4 linked regions of the Caenorhabditis elegans genome follow. The main gene of each other region encodes a partner of the protein of the gene in region 3 in a complex. Each region holds a gene or a part of one and is shown on either strand. Other genes may lie near its edges. The genes, in order: pafo-1, leo-1, cdc-73 and rtfo-1.

What was found.
Region 1: cdc-73 (region 3) and pafo-1 share a complex: the UniProt entries of both Caenorhabditis elegans proteins name them as parts of the PAF1 complex.
Region 2: cdc-73 (region 3) and leo-1 share a complex: the UniProt entries of both Caenorhabditis elegans proteins name them as parts of the PAF1 complex.
Region 4: cdc-73 (region 3) and rtfo-1 share a complex: the UniProt entries of both Caenorhabditis elegans proteins name them as parts of the PAF1 complex.

What each region holds. Positions count from the first base shown.
Region 1 is NC_003283.11:11,519,810-11,523,930, reverse strand, and holds pafo-1 (RNA polymerase II-associated factor 1 homolog), read right to left. Parts: upstream 2,229-4,121; 5' UTR 2,166-2,228; coding exon 2,125-2,165; intron 2,074-2,124; coding exon 1,972-2,073; intron 1,923-1,971; coding exon 1,796-1,922; intron 1,742-1,795; coding exon 1,481-1,741; intron 1,429-1,480; coding exon 819-1,428; intron 763-818; coding exon 626-762; 3' UTR 547-625; downstream 1-546. Other genes in the region: C55A6.11 (uncharacterized protein), read right to left, coding at 2,397-2,504, 2,550-2,975, 3,213-3,299; C55A6.7 (DeHydrogenases, Short chain), read left to right, coding at 3,498-3,626, 3,774-4,121. UniProt on the Caenorhabditis elegans protein: Component of the PAF1 complex which is a multifunctional complex involved in transcription initiation via genetic interactions with TATA-binding proteins, elongation and transcription-coupled histone modification.
Region 2 is NC_003282.8:11,327,091-11,330,891, forward strand, and holds leo-1 (RNA polymerase-associated protein LEO1), read right to left. Parts: upstream 2,280-3,801; coding exon 2,224-2,279; intron 2,177-2,223; coding exon 1,780-2,176; intron 1,733-1,779; coding exon 1,559-1,732; intron 1,512-1,558; coding exon 1,417-1,511; intron 1,369-1,416; coding exon 1,269-1,368; intron 1,217-1,268; coding exon 886-1,216; intron 816-885; coding exon 676-815; 3' UTR 531-675; downstream 1-530. Other genes in the region: B0035.21 (Kinesin motor domain-containing protein), read left to right, coding at 266-369, 416-479; sart-3 (Spliceosome associated factor 3, U4/U6 recycling protein), read right to left, coding at 2,674-2,789, 2,842-3,136, 3,186-3,299, 3,357-3,694, 3,742-3,801. UniProt on the Caenorhabditis elegans protein: Component of the PAF1 complex which is a multifunctional complex involved in transcription initiation via genetic interactions with TATA-binding proteins, elongation and transcription-coupled histone modification.
Region 3 is NC_003282.8:4,040,553-4,048,072, forward strand, and holds cdc-73 (Cell division cycle protein 73), read left to right. Parts: upstream 1-2,022; 5' UTR 2,023-2,026; coding exon 2,027-2,098; intron 2,099-2,151; coding exon 2,152-2,351; intron 2,352-2,396; coding exon 2,397-2,566; intron 2,567-3,167; coding exon 3,168-3,309; intron 3,310-4,175; coding exon 4,176-4,440; intron 4,441-4,842; coding exon 4,843-4,927; intron 4,928-5,466; coding exon 5,467-5,754; intron 5,755-6,605; coding exon 6,606-6,937; 3' UTR 6,938-7,020; downstream 7,021-7,520. Other genes in the region: F35F11.2 (DUF4200 domain-containing protein), read left to right, coding at 1-52, 147-251, 299-452, 720-980. UniProt on the Caenorhabditis elegans protein: Component of the PAF1 complex which is a multifunctional complex involved in transcription initiation via genetic interactions with TATA-binding proteins, elongation and transcription-coupled histone modification.
Region 4 is NC_003283.11:9,579,504-9,584,180, forward strand, and holds rtfo-1 (RNA polymerase-associated protein RTF1 homolog), read right to left. Parts: upstream 3,142-4,677; 5' UTR 3,125-3,141; coding exon 2,970-3,124; intron 2,916-2,969; coding exon 2,549-2,915; intron 2,505-2,548; coding exon 2,036-2,504; intron 1,981-2,035; coding exon 1,414-1,980; intron 1,364-1,413; coding exon 1,171-1,363; intron 1,126-1,170; coding exon 1,035-1,125; 3' UTR 538-1,034; downstream 1-537. Other genes in the region: F25B3.2 (CTCK domain-containing protein), read left to right, coding at 218-312, 372-443. UniProt on the Caenorhabditis elegans protein: Component of the PAF1 complex which is a multifunctional complex involved in transcription initiation via genetic interactions with TATA-binding proteins, elongation and transcription-coupled histone modification.

The sequences.
Region 1 (4,121 bases), on a different chromosome or scaffold from region 3:
TCGATTTACGGGCTGGAATTTTGAAATGAATTTCTTTTGGAATACAGTGCTTTTTTTACAACTTCTACGACTTTAAAGGCGCGCGCATTTTCGCGCAATGGTCTCGCCACGCGCATCCCTTTGATTTGTTGAGCGCGTGGCGAGACCAATGACGGGACCATTTTGTATAAATACGCGCGCCTTTAAAGTCGTAGAAGTGGAAAAAAAATGCACTGTAGTTTCGAAAATCTATTGCTACAGTAGTCATTTAAAGAATTACTGTAGTTTTCGCTACGGGATATATTCAATGTTTCGCAATACGCATTCCAATCAGAACGGTAGTTCGAATTTCCCCCAAAACTAAACGTCTTGCCCTCTGATCCTGTTGCTTCCGCATGACAAATCAAAGAATAGAACGTGGAGCACATAAGCGCAAGCAACAGACACCTACACAAACAGAACTTTGCGGGTGTTGGTGTTTCCGCTGTTGGTTTTTTCTTCAATTGTGAGTCAAATCATACTTGCACTTTTAGCGAAGATTCATGAAGATCAATCGAACAAATAGTTGAAATCGTTATCAAGTTTACTGAGAAAAACCAATTTGATTAGGTAAAATAAATAGAAAAACAATTTTAAAAATTTGAGATCAATCACTGTCGCTGTCAACAGTCGGTTCCTTTTTCCGTGGTGAATCGTCATCTGATGAAACGTCCGAAGAGCTATCAGATCGTGATTTCTGCGGCTTGTCGTCATCAGAATCACTGCTCTGATCTGAACTGTCTCCTGAAAAATTGCATGTTCGCGTGGAAAATAACACTTCAAAACTTAAATTTACTCACCACCTTCTTCTTTCTTCTCTTGAATCTTTTCCAGAATCTCTTGTTTTCTGGTCTTTGGCTGTTCGTATAACTCAGCCTCTCTTTTATTCATGTCTTTTTGTTCCAGTTCGGAAGGATTTCGGTATGTGAGTGTCAATTTGGATTTTCTGCTCAATGCCATTTTTGGTTTTCTTGTCATCTTGACATTACAGTCAACTTCGTTGTACTGGAAAACGTTATTACGATGATACATAATGAAGACGTCACGATCCCTTGGTGGCAAGTGTTCCATTTTAAATGTGTATTCACGGCTTAGCAAGAATTCGTACTTCATATCCTCATCAAATGGTCGTTCTAACTCAAGATCATCCATAAAACTCGTAAGACATCCAATCGTTGGAACAAAAACTGCTGCAAATTTTTGATCTTCGAATTCCATGGCTTTAATAACACTGCTCTCCCGTGCTTGTTGTCGTTCATCTTCTTCTTCGAATTCTGTTGTTATAGTGTCTCCATCAAATTGTACATGAGCAAAGAGGTGTTTCCAGTGATCGAAATCAGGGAAGACAAAGCTTTCTTCAACAGCTTTTACACCCTTCTTGGAGTAATGCTCCTTGACGGGTTTACGAACCTAAAATACGCAAAAGTAGATTTAAATCAAAAAAATATATTCTGGTACTTACATCTTCAAATGTCTTGTTAATGGCATCAATTTGACTCTGCTTGTCACGATACATATCTTCAACTTGTTGATTTTTCTTCAAGTTATAACCAAGCTTCGTCTCCTGTCTATCGGCTGTCACACCGAACCGATTGAATTCAGTTGAAATGTACTCGGTTTTTCTCATCCATGGAACAAGTTTAGAATGCTGTTGAGATCGTTTTGCAATCAATTTAGCGGCGCCATCATCTTCCAGTAAAATATTGTCTTTCTCATCAATTTCCTAAAAGTGAAACATTTCTATCTTTGAAACTGTATATTTCAGGAAAAAACCTACAGTTTCGATTGGATCTTCGTCGTATTTTTTTAGATCAATCAAATCGACATTCAAACCCATGTCGTCGTCACAAATGACTGCATGCTTGTAATCTCGATAAATGGCAGCAGGTTGGAATTCGACAAATCTAAATTCAGAGATATTGAACAATGTCAAACGTTTCAAAATTGGTGTACCTTCCCAGAGGAACAAATGGACAAGTCATAAACTTTGCATCAAATGGGACATCAGGAACAGTATTGGTAAATCGAGGTTTCAGCATGAAATCCACTTTTCGTCTGCAAAATGTTTTCAAAACTTTTCTAGCGATTCAAAACAATAATACTTACGGAGGTTCAATCCTTTTGGCATCTGAGGATTCTTGGGGCATTTTTTATAGTAATTTAGTTATAATATTAAGATACCAATCGGCAGAAACGGCTGCAAATCGAAAAAACTAGTCACCGAGGGAATTAAATTCAAACTCTCACACACGGGTTTTGCGCAAGCGCTCAATGCGCGTCAGCAGGGAACAATGGCGCATAACCAGTTTTGCGCGGGTGTTCAAAAAGTATTTTTTGTTTTGTGAATTTCCAGCGTTCTCGTCACGATAATATTTATTTTATGACAAAATGCCATCATTAACATGATAATATTGTAAAAGGGACAATAATGTAAATATAAAGGTGACAATGAATGGTCCAGCAATGTAGAGAGCCAATGCTCCTTTCTGGAAAATTATATAAATGTGGGGTTGTGAACTTTTAAAGCCTACATTATCATGATCATCGTGCATTCCGATACTTTCACGCTGAACAAAGCTAACAGTATTCTCCATTTCAGCATTTAGCTCTTCACTACTTCCAAAGAAAACATCCCACAGCCAAGATCCGAACATTTTTTCCGAATTCCTTTCACAGCAGAGTGTACCATAATAAACTCGATGCTGGTATGTATGAACACATCGTCCCACTTTTTTCTTGTCACATAACTTCATGAATGTTTCCTCGGTTAGATTGAATGGCTTGAGAATTTCCTTCGAAGCACAACCAGAGGCAAATAGAAATGCGTGTTGCTCATTTCGAACGATTTCAGTGAGCATAATTTGTTGAAAGCATGTCTTGAAACCGGAAGTGCAGTTTTTGTACATGAAAGTTCGAAGTTCTTTGTGTCGAGTTCGGGATAAAATTGGGCAGGATACCTTGAATGAAATAATATTTTTACAATTTTCTAGAAAGATCTTATTTTGAAATTGCTCATAACCTACAAAAACATAACAATAGCAAAACAAATTGCGCCTAGTTTTTTGTCTATCTTTTTTTGTCTATCGTTTCTCTTTCATTAAAAATATTTGAAAGAAAATTTCCCAGGGACAACTGGAAAAGCTCAGGAATAGAACCAAGGAAAGTCCTTTATAACATCTCCTGTGTAAACCTACATTCACATTTTCCCCGTTCGCAACCAACACTTGATTGAAGAGCAAAACTGTATTAACCAAAATCGAAATTATCATAGTTTTCTTCATTGTCTAATTCTTTGATCTCTTCTCAGAAATTCCGAAATAAACTAAAAACTGCAATAAACCAAACTAATTATTGTGGCAGTTCATCACGCTGTTTATTTTGCAGAACAGAAGAGAAATACTATTGATAAGAAATAATAATCATCATTCATTGATTTTCGATTTCTGTTAATTCAATTCTATGCTTAAATTCTAGTGAAAATGTCTCCAAAATCAGTTGTGGTAACCGGATCCAATCGAGGATTGGGATTTGGATTAGTTCAACAATTTCTGAAAGATCCAAATGTTCAGCATGTCATTGCGACTGCAAGAGATGTTGATAAGGCAACTGTAAGTTTTTTCGAGTTTATTTATACTTTATCCGTTGCTGAGATTATAGTTATTTGTATTAGGTTTGTGTTCCTAATATTTGTATATGGTAAAAATTTCCCAACAACATGTATTGGACTACGGCATTCTTAATTTCCAATTTTTCAGGCTCTCAAGGGAATTTGTGATCCACGACTTCACATTCTTCAACTCTCACTCGGATCCGATGAATCAATTGCAAATTTTGCTGAAAAAGTGTCTGAAATTGTTGGAGAATCTGGATTAACTCTTCTTATAAATAATGCAGCTGTGATGCTTCCATATGTAACAAAACAAAAACCTGATCGAAAAGTTGTTCTGGATTTGTTTGAGTCAAATACAATTGGTCCAATGATGCTTACACAAAGCCTTGTACCACTCATAATCAAAGCTTCGAAACGACAGGAAGGCGATACACTTTCCGTTTCTCGTGGTGCAATCATTAATATTGCATCCGAATTTCTTGGTTCAATTTCT
Region 2 (3,801 bases), 7.3 Mb from region 3:
TAATATTCAATGAATACTTTTTTCAATTTCAATTTTTTTAAATTTTAAATCTTTCGGACATAGTGGTTCCGTGTATATTATAATATGATTGATTCAAAGATTTGTTGTTAGATGTAAAAATTTATTAGTCAGTTTCTTTATCAAACGTGAAAAATCATTTCCTACATTTTCCACAAAGATGTTTAAAATACTCTGGAATCAAAAGTCAAAACCTATAGTTTTTCGAATTTTAATTTATGGAATCTTCTTTCAAATCATTATATTGATGTTTTTACTGCGATCGAGAAGCTCTGGAAATCAAGAAGAAGCTCAGTTGATATTAAATGTATCGATTTCCCCAAGAGCAATGGAAAACGATAAAACACGGAGGTTTGATTTTGAGAATTCTGAAATCGTAGATTATTTCAAGTTTCAGAATTTATGATACGACACTTGATGCCAATTCTTTGAGAAGCGAGGAAGACGTAGTGGATGTATGATTTTAAATATTACATACAATCTGATTGAAATTAAGAAATAAAAGCTCGGTTTTTCATAATATTGTGGATGTTTCATTATCTCGAAATATCGAAGACTAAAATAAATAAGGAAAGGAAAACATTTTCGAAATATTGTAAAGGGAGAAATATTGAATTCGCGAAATATAAAATTGTGAGGATCAAAATTGAAATAAATTTAGTCAGATTCTTCGTCACTGGTGACAATCTGTTTCTTTTGTTGTTGTTTTCTCTTTCGGTACTCTTCATCAGAATCGCTATCCGATCCGCTTTTCTTTGTGGTATCCGCATGATCGTCCTCACTTTCTGAGCTGGCACCTGAAATATATTATTGTAGTACAGTTTCTTTATTCTGGTAAAGTCCTAATCAAAATTAAATTGAACTTACCAATAATTGGTGCTTCCTTCTTCTTTCCTTTTCTGGATGACGTTGGCATATCTTCATCATCAGAATATTGTCCTGCATATCTCGGACCACGAACTTTAAAGTTATTCCGAACCATCTGAGTACGTCGGATGTGTGCACGAAGTGATTCTTCCTCCTTCCGGGCATTCTCACGCCGTGTAATTTCCGGATTCTGACCAACATCGTCCATGACTTTAACTTGAGCATTCTTCCTGCTTCGATCTGCCATATTGAGTGTGACTTTTCTGTGAGTTTGGGAATCAGTCGAGTGAGGACGGAAGGTCATACGATGTGTAAGAACAGCTTGAGCCGACTAAAAATGACATAAATTTTGATTAAAATAAAAACATTAACAATCAAAATACCATTAATGTTGGCTGCTTAACGTAAAGATGGGGAAGATTATTGGAATTCAGCGGCACCAATGAGACTTCGAAAATTTCGTTTCCGAGGTATAGAGACATTCTGAAATTAAGTCACGATATGGAAATTTTGCATCAATTGAAAACTAACGTTCCATCGTCCCATTTTACAATTTTTGCATTACTCTCTCGAATTTCTTTTCCATTTTCATCTTTGCGAACTCGCCAGCGAAGTGTATTTTCCACCTTAAAAATTGTATATTTGATGAGATGTATTTATAACACAGACATACTCTCAATTTGAGACGTGTTCGTCCTTCATCATCCAATTTCGCCTGCTCATCATCTTCGTCTTCCTCGTAATGTTGTGGATCAAATGGATGAGTGGCGACTGATAGAAAGTTTGGCATTCTGACAAAATGTGGTGGATCTGCAGCGTACTCCAAAGTAACACGACCTGTTACCATCTGGAAAATCAATGTTTTAATCACATTATTTCATTGAAAATGTTTACTTCAGTATCATGAACATGCTCCTTTGCTTTTTCATCTTCATCTATTTCATCTGGATTAGCCATCACAATTCCTTGCAAATCATTCAAACTTCCACGACTCTCCGCATCGGAATCTGACAATCGTGCTCTTGTATTTGATTCTTTCGGCTTTCCTTCTCTGTCGGAATCATCGTCGGAAGAGCCAGAGAGATCACCGAACAAACCACCACCAGCACCGGGGGAACTCTTTTCACCTCCTCCTCTCGGATGAATGTTATCGTCAGAAGAATCGGACAATTGTCGAGGAGCAGGACGAGAATCATCATCATCGTCGGACTCATTTAATATCGCTCTTTTCTTAGACGGTTCTTGTTTTTTTGGTGAATCTGGCGACGATCCACGAGAAGATGGAGTTGATCTGAATTGAATTATATTATTTTAGAAACACAATTACCATTTACTTACGATTTAACTGGTGTTCCTGGTGCAGAAGCGTCAGAATTACCCTCAGAAGATGACATCTGAATTGAAAATATTGCATACCTAAGTTCTTTGAATAGCGAAAGTAGCAAAACAAAGTAATAATTTGGGGTCGAATATACCGATAAAAATTGAATAATAAAAGTAGTTGTTGAAAATTCAGATTTTCTTATCCATAGGCAATAAGTTGAAAATGAATATTGGGGGATCTCTATTACAAATTATTAGCAAACAAAAAGAAAACAAGGATTATGAACAGTTATGAAACTAAATCTTGCAATTCGTAGTGAAGAACAAATATAATTATAGCGAGAACATCAAAAATAGCATCTACCGGAATTTTAATTGGAAAGGAGACACTGGGGAACGTAATAGAAATTAAATAACTAAATGAATCTTGATATGAACAATGAAAGTTTCTGGTGAAAAACGGCCCTAATTTTTCATAAACATTTTACGGAATTGATCATTTGAAAGTGGCTGAGACGTTGAAGTGCCTTCGGAAACATCCATTGCGTCCAGCCGAGCAGTGATTTGAGGAGTTTTGTTTGCTGAAAATGGATTTTTTTATGCTAAGCTGGGAACTAAAGATGATATACTTACTAATAGCTCTGGGAACCAATTGCAGTTTTGCAGCATGTCCTTTTCTAGGTCCATCTTCTTCCAAACTTGCTCCAATTGCTGCTGGTTTTCCATGCGATTTATCCTTTTTTACTGGTGGATTGGATAACGCTACCTCTAGTTCTCTTTCTCGAAGCATCAATTTATCACCAGAAGCAACACATTTTTGAGCACTTGCTTCTGTGTCAAAATCTACGAATGCGATTCCTTTTGGTTTTCCATCTTTATGAGTCACGCGTCGAACACTGGTTACTGTACCGAATTTCGAGAATAATGCCTGAAATGTATCGATTTAGAATATAAAATGATAGATAAGTATATATTACCTTTAACTCATCGTCGGTTGCCTGGAAGTGGACATTGCGAACGAAGACTTTCGATTTTTCAAGAGTGGTTGAGAATTTGAATCCAACCCGTTTTTCTGGATCGTTGGCGGAGATCTGAATTTTCAGAAATTAAAATTTCACAAATATTTATAAAGTAAAATTAAAACTTACAAACATTGGCCTTCCCTTCACAGGAACTCGATCTTTCAAGAGAGCTTGCTGTGCCTTCTGATCATTCTCCATTACAACATAGGCGAACCCTCTGTGCACAAGATCCGAATTCGCTTTTCTTGCGAATCGAATTGAAGCAACACCTTCAATGGCTTGTCGAATTTCGTCTTCCGTCGTAGTGAAATCGAGATTAGAAACAAAAATTGTGCGAGCATCTTCCGTTCCTGGAGCTGCTTTCTGAACTGCAAAGGAACCTGGAGCTGGTGTCGACGAAGCATTTGAAGAGGATACAGCTGATGAACTTTTCGCATTGGATGGTGGAAGTGGAGCTTTGAATCCTAAAATTTAATTCAAATTAACTTCTTTACTTTTAAAAATTATTTACCTCCGTCGTCTCCTTTCACTTTTTTTACAATTGGTTCACCTCCCGACGTTCTCTTCTGAA
Region 3 (7,520 bases):
ACGAGGATGAGACCAGCGTACACATGTACAGCATGGAAACTGTCGATTATGAGTGAGTGCGGCGGCGGGAATTCAAATTTTTGATTCGAAAAAAACCCAAGCCGCGACGCGACCGCAACGCTCCTTAAAATTGATAATTATTTTAGGTATTCGGTGGAAGAGGATCACGAGGACGATGAGTACAAGTCGACGAAAAATGAAACGATCAAAAAGTTCTTGATCGATCGGAAGCAGTTGGAGAAGGCGTTGCGGTGAGATCCATGATCAAGTTTTAAGCGAAATTATCGATTTTTTCCAGATTAGCCGCTGAAAACGAGAAAAAGCTGAAATCGATGCTCGACGAGTCGGGAAAATGGTTCGATCGTTACGAGAAAATGATCGATGATCTTGATGAGCAACTGACCACGTATAATACCAATCGCAAAATCGTTCTGGATAATATTATCAACGGTGTAAGTTATTGGGGTGGCGGTGCGGTCGTGCCGCGGTTTTGGTCTGAAAATCGATATTTGATCCGTTGCGGTCGCGCCACTGCTTCAGTTCAAAAAATCTATGCTTAACGCGTTGCGGTTGCTGGGCGGTTTTCGCTAGAAATATCGATTTTCCATGCGCCGCGGTCGCGTTGCGGTACACGTTCAAAAATCAATAATTGATGCGCTGCGGTCGCGTCGCGGTTTCGGCCCCGCCGCCGTCCCCTCTGAAAAGATCAATAATTCCAGATACAACCGATGTATGAACGCTGGCAAGCGGCTCGAAAAGAGATGGCCGCCGTGAAATTCACGACGCATCGTGTAATTCCATCGCCGACCATTTTCGGCAATCTGGCTCACTACGGAATATCGATTTTACGCCAAATACTGTTCTATATGGCATATTGTCGGGATTTGGTGTCGGCCGGCGATCAGCAGAGAAGTGGCTCACCGAAATCGGATTCGACACGTACTTTGAACTCGTTGAACCTCTCGGCCGAAAATAAATGATTGATTTATTGATTTTTTTTATTTTCTGGGAAACTTGCATGAAAATCAAGAATTTTCACATAAAACGCTGAAAAACGCTGCCATCGGGTACGGTATCTCCATTTCTGTGCAAACACCGACTACAGTAACCCAAGGCGTAGAATTTGACGACAAGTTGCAGAAAAACCTCGAAAATAAGGGCAAACGTGGAATTTTCAAAGATAAGCATATAATTTGTGCTGAAATTTTTGAAATATTGTTCATTTTCACGATTTTTGTGCAATTTATGGTCGATTCTAGTGTATTGGGCTAGAGACCCGAAGAACTCGGTGGATGTCCAATTGGGGGGATTACCAACTCGACAGAACCGTGGCTTGCAATACGCCCATTTCTGCAACTGCCGCACGGTTTTAAAACTGTATTTTTCTCAATAGAGCGAGAATTAACAAGAAAAAATAATTTTAAAACCGTGCGGCAGTTGCAGAAATGGGCGTATTGCAAGCCACGGTTCTGTGGGCGGGGCCAATCCCCCGAGTTGGTAATCCCCCCAGTTGGACATCCCCCGAGTTCTTCGGGTCTTGGGCTACTGTGATCGGTGTTTGCACAGAATTCGAGCTACAGTACCACAGAAATAGCAAGATTCAAATTTTCCGTAATTGTTTATCGAACATTTTGCTGCTAATCACAACTTTAATCAAGAAATAAAGTGACAAACACGACTAAATTTTCATTTTCCTCACCTTTTTGTGCATTTCCCAACATTTTCGTAACTTTTTTACACTTTCATGGTTAATACATATTGCTTCAATAAGTTTCTTTCTTCAATTTGACTAGTTGAAAAAATCTCCACGAAATTTGCTACTTTTAAGCCTAAAAATAGGCAGATATCTCAAAATTGTAGATATTCAATTTCAAACTCGCGCTCTTTTCTCGTGGCCGCGGCCTAGAAATCCCGCTCTCTCACTGTTCTCTTCCAGATTTTTTAATTTGAAAAATAATTTATTTCGCCGCGTTTTCCTTCATTTTTCATCGATTTTCCGTCTAATTTTCTGCATTTTTTCAGCAGAATGGACCCATTGGAAGCTCTCCAAAAGCATGTGCAGAGGCCAGAAGAGTTTCCGCTGCGAGAAGTCACCGTGGTAAGTGTTTTAACGATTTTTGTCGATTTTCCAATCATTTTTCTCATTTTCAGAGCGGAATCTCGTATGTGGCGTTCGGCGACTACGCTTATAAGAAAGACACGGAGACTAGCCTCCAAATCTACGGAAAAAGCGATGAATTCTACTCTTTGGAGTCACTGGTCGTATTTCTCAAGTACTCACACGAAAATCACGGAGTTTATGTGAAAGAAGCGGCCGCCGCCGGTGTTCGAGCCGTTACACGTATTGATAGGTAGAAAATATCGATTTTTAGCCGAAAACACGTGTAATTTTTCAGAAAAAATGTGACAGAGTACCTCCAGGGTGACCGCACAGACTTTCCGGCGCTGATGAACCAAGTAAATCCGCTTTCGCTTCGCCAATTGCTCCATTCCTCGGAGCCAGAAGCAAAAAAGCCACGTTTAGACGGTGAAGCCGCCGGCGAGCCAATGGACACGAGCACTTCGGGTTATTTTAAACAAAAATCTGAAAAAAAAACTAATTTCGAGCTAAAAACCTTAAAAATTATCGTTTTTAAGCTAAAAATAAGGATTTTTAGACAAGATATGACTTGAAAATCGATTTTTAAAAGGTTTTAGCTGAAAATAACGATTTTTAAAGCTAAAAACCGACGAATTCTACGCTAAAATCCAAATTTTAGGCTAAATGCTTAATAAAAACCTACTTTCACGCTAAAAGCCCCATTTAAACCCCCAAAAATCCAATTGTGGACTAAAAAACTACAAAATAGTTAATTTAAGCCAAAAAACTGGAAAAAACGTAGTTTAAGCTGAAAATCTGAAGAAAACACCAATTTTGAGCTAAAAACCGAAAGAAAAAACTGTTTTTAAGTTAAAAATTATTGTTTTTAGCTCAAAAACAATTTTAGGTGAACATTTGAATAAAAATCCGATTTTAAGCTTAAAAAAGTATAAAATAGCTCATTTTAAGCCAAAAAGCCTGTAACTACCTTAAAAATAACCGTTTCTAAGCTAAAAATCATGATTTTTAGCAGAAATTTGCTCAAAAATCCCGATTTTTCTCAAAATTAACTCCATTTTTTTCCCAGATGAGCCCCAGGAATCCGCGGTATCCGCTGCAAAGAAAGAAGTCGAAATTCGTGCACTAAATGACAATCTGACAAAGGATAGAATTGCTGAAATGAGAAGAAAACGACAAAGTCATCGAGAAAAAGGAATAGTCACCATTGAGTACGGCAAAAAATTAGGAAAATGGGCTAAAAAGGCCAAATTTATGCTGAAAAATGATGCAAAAATGCAGATTTTAGCCTGAAAACCCGAAAATTTCACGAAATTGCGAATTTCTCAGTTTTCGGTTGAAAAATTGGGAAAATTACGTTGAAAACGTAGTTTTTACCCGAGAAAACCGAAAAACAACAGTAAAAAGCCAATTTTCGATTTAAAACAATTTTAACTGGGAAAAAATATGAAATTCAATTTTTTTTTTTCAAAATTCCCTACTAAAATTCGGATTTTCATATAAAAAACTACGCAAATCACCTAAAAAAACCGAAATTCTACCAGAAAAAAGTGATTTTCAACTCAAAAAATCTTAAATTTATCCCATTTTCATAGAACAGAGCCAATTTTCTCCAAAAACCCGATTTTTGTGCAATTTGTCGTGAATTCCGGTGTTTTGGGTTACTGTAGTCGGTGTTTGCACAGAAATGGGGCTACAGTACTCAAAATAGACATTTTTCTGGGTATTTTCGTTAAAATTTCTGAAAAAATTGTGAAAATTCATTGCAAAAAACGGAAAATCTCGATTTTCTAGGTCAAAATTTTCTTAAAAACTTGTTTAACTCGAAAATTCTTAGAAAACTCCGAATTTCTCATTTTTTGGTTCAAAAAACTACGAAAAGTCGATTTTTAGTTTGAAAATCTCGTAATTTTCTAAATTTTCACCGAAAAGTTTCCAAAAATCGGCCAATTTTTCTTTTAAAAAAAGCCTGAAAAATATAGAATTTTTATGCAAAAAAAATCCGAAAACCCCGATTTTCTAGGACAACATTTCCTCAAAAACCTGATTTTCTGATCAAGAAATTTCAATTTTTCAGTGAATCCCTATCCACACTGACGTCAGCCTCACTTCCGAAGACTCGAATCCACAAAACCCGTGAAAATGTCATGTTGGGAGCTCGAGATTTGTCAAATGTGCTCGATATTATCACTTCAGCCCAACGGCAATGGGATTTAAACGAGAAAAAGGAAAAAGTGGCGGCTGTTCATGCTACGAATCTCTCGAAAGATCAGTCTGGAGCCGCTGGTGGACAACAGCAACGTTCCGGTTATTCTAGATATGCTCAGGAAGCTTTTGCTCATGTAAGGGAGCCCCCTCCCCAAACTATGTGAAAATTTGAGAAAAATTGGTGAAAAATCGATCTTTCTGCTATTTTTCACGCAAAAATTCGGAAAATTTGATCCAAAAATTATGAAATTCGTGAAAACCGGCAATTTTTTCCTAAAAATTCAACATTTTCACCAAAAACCCGCTAAAAATGACGAATTCGGATACTGTAGCCCCGTTTCTGTGCAAACAACAACTACAGTAACCCAAAACACTGGAATTCACGACAAATTGCACAAAACTCAAAAACTGACGTAAAAATGCGATTTTTCACGCAAAAATTCGAAAATTTTGATCCAAATAAATGAAAAATTGAGAAAAGATTCGAATTTCAGTGAAATTATGTCCAAAAATCTACTAAAATTCAATTTTTTCAGGAAAAAACCAAGGAAATTCAAACGGAAGGCTCTTTTATTGGAAGTAATTTCAGCAGTATCAAGCAGGGACATCATGCGGTACAAAGTTCGTAAAATCCGAGAAATTGCAATTTTAAATTCAAAAAAATCAGAAATTTTATAAAATTTGACCCTAAATTCGAAAAACACCGAAAAATTCCCACATTTCGAAACAAAATTGGAAAACTTCATAAATTGACTTAAAATCCGGGTTTTTGTAATATTCTCACCAATTTTGACTGAAAAAACTCGTAAAAAATGCTTTTTTTTTTCATTAAAGTTGATCTGGAAAGCTGAAAATTCGGAAAATTTATGAAATTTTCACTAAAAACCTGTGAAAAACCAATTTGTGCCGGAAAATGTGATTTTTAACACAAAAATTCAGAAATTTTGCTTCAAAATGGAGAATTTCATGAAAAATGACGATTTTGGGTACTGTAGCTCTATCTCTGTGCAAACACCGACTACAGTAACCCAAAACGTCGGATTTGACGACAAATTGCACAGAATTCATAAAATTTGACCTAAAATCTGGGTTTTTTTTCTGAAATTTCTACTAAAAAATGTAAAAAACGCCAATTTTTCACAAAATTTTCAATTTTCCAGAAGCACCCGACGCTCCCCCAGGCCGTCCTCCACTCGCCAAGCCCATCCAGCTTCTGACGTCATCAACTGCCACGTCATCAGGCTCATCAGCAGCTCAAAATGGCTCAAAACGGACGTCTCGCTCCCCGATCATCATCGTTCCGTCGGCAATGAATACGATGATAAATTTGTACAATGTTCGAGATATTCTGCAGAATTTCAGCTATGTTCCTGTTGATCAGCGACGAAAAGAGACGAATAAGAAGCCTGTCGATTTGGCTATTCAACGGCAGAAAAATGGTGTTACTTGTGCGTTTTTTTGGCTGGAAATGCGATTTTTCACGCGAAAATTTGGAAATTTTGACCCAAAAAATGAGAAAAACTAAGATTTGTGCTTGAAAATCTGAATTTATTGGAAAAATTTGAAATTCTTGAGCCAAAAATGCTGAAAATTAAACATTTCGACGAAAAAAACCCCGAAAAATGACGGTTTTGAGTACTGTAGCCCCATTTCTGTGCAATCACCGACTACAGTAACCCAACACATCTGAATTTACGACAAAATTCTGAAAATGGTCAAATCCTTCTCGAAAACTTGCGTTTTGCCTGAAATTTACGATTGTTTACGCGAAAATTCGAATATTTTAACCCAAAAATAATGAAAATCGTAAAATCCACCGGTTTTTGCGCAAAAATGGAAAATGTTGACTTAAAAACTTGAAAAATGAGACGATTTTGGGTACTGTAGCCCCATATCTGTGCGACCACAGACTACAGTAACCCAAAACACCGAAATTTACGACAAATTACACAAAACTTGAAAATAGACTTGAAAATTCGATTTTTCTCGAAAAAGTCCTTTTTAAAGTGATTTAAAATAATTTTAAGCTAAAAAATTGGAAAAATACGCAATTTTTCAAAATTTGTTTGGAAATTTGAGCAAAAAGCGTAAAACCCTGAAATTTCGAGAAAAAAACTGAAATCTTCACCTAACCTTTCGAAAATACTCAATTTTAACCAAACATTTCGAAAAAACTAGACGTTTCAGGCAATATTCGCTGCAAAAATGGTATTTTTTGGGATTTTTAACCGATTTTAAGCTAAAAATTCGAAAAAAAAACAAAAACTCCATTTTAACCTAAAATTTGAAATTGATTCAGACAATATCCGCGTAATCGACAATGCCGAGAAGCTTGCCAATGATGATTGGGATCGTGTGATCGCCGTCTTCGTAATGGGTGTCGCGTGGCAATTCAAAGGCTGGAAATGGAATGGAAATCCGACGGACATCTTCACCCACATTCCTGCATTCCATTTCCACGTCGACCAGGATAAGCCGGTGGCTCAAGTGATGCAGTGGAATGTACACAAGATTCCAGTCTCGGCGACGAAACGGCACATGGATAAGGCTCGATTCAGTCAAGTTTGGGAGACAATCGAGAATTTTGTACGCAAGAACAAGCCACATCTCACCGCCCGTCTTGGACTCTGAAAATTCTCGGAAATTTTCTTTTTTTCTTCATTTTTTGCAAATTTATTTATTCATCACTTTTGATTTTATTAAAAATGCCATTTTTCTTCAAACAATTTTTAATCGAAAATTCAAATTTTTAGCGAAAAAATCATTTTCCACGTGGCGAAATCGTCATTTTTGGAGTGGAGAAAATTCGATTTTCAAGCGGAAAATTGCCCAATTTTCGTCAGTTTTCGTCAGCCAGGCGGCGCGGTCGCGTCGCGGCAACAAATTTTTTAATTCGTGAATTTTCAAGGTAATATTTTGGAGAAAAATTCAAATTTTCCAGTTAAACATTGTTTCGTTTTTTGGCCAAAATTGCCTTCTAGGATTTTCGAAATATTGCTCCATTGGCCACGCGGAGCGGTCGCTTCGCGGCTTTTTTTTTTTTCATGATTACTGGCTCAAAACTAGACACTTTGAATTCCCAAGTTAAATTCATTTGTCAAAATTCTTCAAAAGAGTTCGGGGAGTAGTGCGATTCAGAAAGCAGAAAGTGAGAAAAAAATTAGAGGTATAGCACAAGTATTAGAAATATACCAAAAAATTAGGTGAAAATTAG
Region 4 (4,677 bases), on a different chromosome or scaffold from region 3:
TGGCGCAATTGTTCGTCTAATATTTAAAACATGAGACAATGTAGGCCCCGTAAATCGACACGAGCTACTGTATGTCAATGTCTGCGTGGCGAGACCCATGTACGTATTGTATGGCGAAAATGATCAATTTGGACGTTTACGTAATGAGAGCGTTCTACGTTTTTCAACTGAGGGGTCCGTTGATTACATGTAATTTGTGATTGAAATATATTTCCAGCTCATGGTCAATGTGGCATTCAGACCCTCTCATTCAAAGTTCTACGAAACACAGGGGATGATAATTGTGAGGATTGGATTGTTGAACAAATCCAGGTTTGTCTTATTTCTCTTATTGTATTAATCTCGAAATAATCTAATCCCTTCCTTTCCAGCTCCCTGTTGCCTGTCAATGCTCACTGAGCAAAAGCTCATTTCTTCGAGCCAAGCCGAGTAAAGAGCTGTAGCGCTTAAGATGTTAAATTACAATTCTTCGTTCACATTCCAAACCATTTCTGTATACCGGGTTTCTAATCCTGAAAGATGGAATAAAAACGTGAAAAGAACTTTGAGTTTATTCATTAATTGCACGAAAAATTATTAGAAAAGTTTCAAAAAATTCACACAGATTTTTGGTTTACATCCGTTAACCTAGGAATACAGTAGTCACAAGGAATCAAAAAAGGAATAAAACATGAAAAGATGAATGAGGGTGAAAATCAATAGAATCACATAGAAAATTTAAAATTAAAGGTTTGGGATTGGTGAGGAGTATCAGTGAGTGGGAAAGATCTAAAACAAACGGTGAAGGATTCATAAAATGTTCCATTTCTTGCATTCTGCAATTGCTATCTTTATTACGATTTATTTTATTCTGACGAAATTAAAAGCTAAAAAAATGTGTTCTCAAAAATTGGAAAAAATGAACGGAATAGTATAATGAAGGAATTGAACAAGTTTTGATCAGTTTATAAAACGAAAGAAAATAAGTAAAACGTAACGATGAGGGATGAGGGGGGTAACGCTGAGAAAATCAAAGAGATGTAGAAAAAGACAGTTCAAACTGCTGAGGATGGTGCAGCTGATGTGGAGGATCCAGCGTCACCACCTCCTGATCGACGCATTCGATAATCACTAAGTGACACTCCTCTGAAAATATAGCAATTAAAATAGTCCACTATAAGATGTGCTAACTTGGAAGAACTAATTGATGGACGTTTGTTTCCTGACGATTCCGGCGTACTAAAATCCTTCAATTTACCCAAATCGATGTCTAGATCAAAGTCATGCAGACTGGATATATCAGTTTTTTTCTTTATTTGAGTAGATGGAGGAGGTTGCGTCGGTTTAGCCAATGATGAACTTTTGTCTTTTCCGCCGTCAGATACTGAAAATTATAAAGTTATGTCAAAAAATTGATATTTCCTATTAACTTACAATTTGTGGTTGATGAAGATGCGGAAAGAGTTCCGTCAAGTCTTGATTTAGATCCAGAAACAACACGCATACCTCCCTTCTTACGTGTAAAAGGATCATCCTGTGAATTCTCTTCGATCTTCAATTGCCCACTCAGGACTTGGTCCTTTATTTTTGATCGATTCCTATGGTTAATGAACGCAATCGCACTAATTGACTTGCTTCGCTCTTTCTCCAATTCATCAGCTTGTCGTTCAATCTCATCGATTTTAGTTTGAATTTGTTCGGCTTCTCGAATGTCACCTCGTTGTTGAGCCAGCTCTTTTTGCTTGGACCAATTAGCTTTTGTCATAGCGAAATTTCGTGGAACTGTTTGATATTTGCTCTTTTCCTTGATCATCAGATCGACTTCTTTGTCCGAATACTTGTGGTTGATTGCTTTTTCGATATCTTGTTTTTTCTTATCCATAATATCGACGGTTGGAAGATTTCCGTGTCTCTTACATGCCAGAAGCCATTCATCAAACTCAATTTGTTCGAAATCAGCATTTGAAACGAATTGCATACGGAATGGTCGTTCTGATCCACCTGCAGTTAAGGTTGTAACAGATTTCAAATTTTCACAAGTAAATAAACAACTCACCATTCTGACATTTTATGATTTTATTTGTCTTTTTTCCTTCCAATTCGTAGACTTTGTTGGATTCCTCCACACCGACAATCTTCCATATCCGATATTTGCTTCCTGAGCCACTCATTTGCCCTTGTCCAAGTCGAACATAGCATCCTACGACAGTAGAATCAAAGAATGGGGCATGAATCATCAATGAAAGTTTATGACGGGACAATCGAGCTCTTCGAAGTTCCGAAAGTCCATCAACATCTTTCTTTACTATCTTATCTTTTTCGGATACACGTTCTGGTGATGATTCGCGGGAAGAAGATGATGAACGAGAGCTTTCGCTTGAACTAGACGAACTTGAAGATCCCGAATTAGCTCCAAAAACAGCATCGATAGAGAGTGCTTCGTTTTTTGCATTTTTCTTTTCGATCTCTTTACGTTTGTTCTTCAGAGCATCCATAGCATTCTTCTCTTTATGTTTGCGGTTAATCTGGAATAAAAATTTTTATTTGAAAAATAAAAAAATAAACTTACATCACTGGGTCGGTGGAAAGCAGCATCCATCTCAGAATCGGAATCCGATGAAGCTTTGCGTTTCGGGGAACCTGCATCACTTCCACCACTGTTCATTTTCCTTCGTTTTTCGGTTTTGACTCCCTTTTCAGAACTTTTCTTTGCTTTTTTAGCAAGTTGTTGAGCAATTTCTTCTCGAGCAATCGCGTTTTCACGAGCCTCCATCCTTTCAAAAATTTCTTGCTCCTTTTCCAATTCTGTCAATTTCTTCCATCTTGCTTTGTCTTCTTTGTCAGCAAATAAATCATCATCTACTTGGTCATCGTCACTACTTCCAGTAGCTCGCCGCTTTCGCTTTGTTAAAGTCTTCTTTTTTGCAGGCTTTGCCCTGAAAATGGAAACTCGTATAACTTTTTTTTGGATAGAAAACAGTAAAACTCACTGTGGTTTTTCGGCATCTGAATCGGATGCCGAGGAGTCGGTACTGAGAGGTTTTCCAGGTTTTGGACCTGCGTCTGAGTCAGAATCGGAATCTGAAGTGGCTGGAGCACGGCGTTTTGTCTCTTCGTCTGATGAAGCACTCTCAGAGGAAGACATTGTTGATTAAACTGACCCTGAGAACATAATTATGAATTGAATAAATTATTAGAGAACGGTGAGAAGAAACGGTTGTATAAAAGTGATGTAGAGCGTCTGACATTTGTTCTGGGAAAATCGATATCGACACACAGTTGCAAGATGGCTACGAACAATAGGTTTCATACAAATATTTAAACAAATAAAAGAAACAAGGAAAAGTGTCATATTTTTAATGATATATGCGCGTTTTTGTCGAAAATATTCGAAAAATTAAGAAAAAACTTAAGTTTCTCAAAAAATGTGTCAATATTGGATTCGAGAAACAAAAAGGACGGGTGCAATAAAGTTTTTCTACTCTTTGAATTAAGATAATAATAAAGAATCATTAAAAATCAATTATAATAACGAAAAACCAAAGAAAATACCGAAAATTAAGAATAAATTTTTACATTCAAACTGCACAGTGTCAATACATTTAGTCCCGCCCACTTTGCAAGCCGCGCACGCTATTTTGCAAGGTTGTCGCACACAATTGGGATATTGGCTTCTGTTGCTGTAGGTCATGGTGCAAGCTATGTATATTTAATGGATTTATATATAAATACCAAACACTTTTATAATCGATAAGGAAATTGAGAGACACTCCCATTTTCTGAAGTTTAGAAAAACTAATTCTTTAGTGCCCATCCTGTGGGAATCCGAAGTGTTCTTATAGGTTTTTCAAATCTCTTATGCTCTCACAGTATTCTCAAAAACCATTAATCAAGAAAAAAACATAAGAAGAGACAAGGGTAGATGGCTTACGGAAATACAACCCCTTTTCCAGGTTAAACGATGTAAGAGAAGAAAAAACGAAAAAAGAAAGATCAAATGCTCTTTAGTGAACAGTTGTTCTATTAAAGTGTTTAGGTAGACCTGGAGATACAGAGAATCAGAAATAAAGGATAATCTTTCTTTTCGTGTTTCCTGTTGCCATTCGACAATTAGTAGAAGTAGTAAGCGAAGTTTTCGAAGAAAATGAAGAATTTGCGGTTCGAATCCCATCGACACAATGGAGGAGCAGCTGAGGCAGAGTTTAATTTTGGTAAGTTATCTGATTATTGAAATACTGCATGTTTTCTTTCTACGAGTTTTTAAGAGAGACTCATTTGTGTTTAATACATAAAAAATTCCGTATAACGCAGACGTTTAGATATTTTAATGTTGGTTATACTTTACTCGCAGGGGTCTCGCCACTCGGACAACGAGTTACTGTAGCTCGTATCAATTTACGGCCCTCTATATATTTGTATATGCGCCTTCAAGATTACGGTAAATAATTGCGAAACAAAATCTTGATGTCCAATTCAACAAATGTTCACATTAGTAACATTCAATTTTAATTTAACGCTAAATATAGAGACTTTCTGTAAAAAACCCGATTTCACATTGATTGTCTAACTTTTTCAGTCCGAGTTGCCCGTATAAAATTTCAAAAGACTTTGTGAACGTATTTTATCTTATTATTCTTTTAAAGCTTCAGAACTCAAAACTTTCCAAATGTTCATATTTTCTCGAACACAATCCATTTT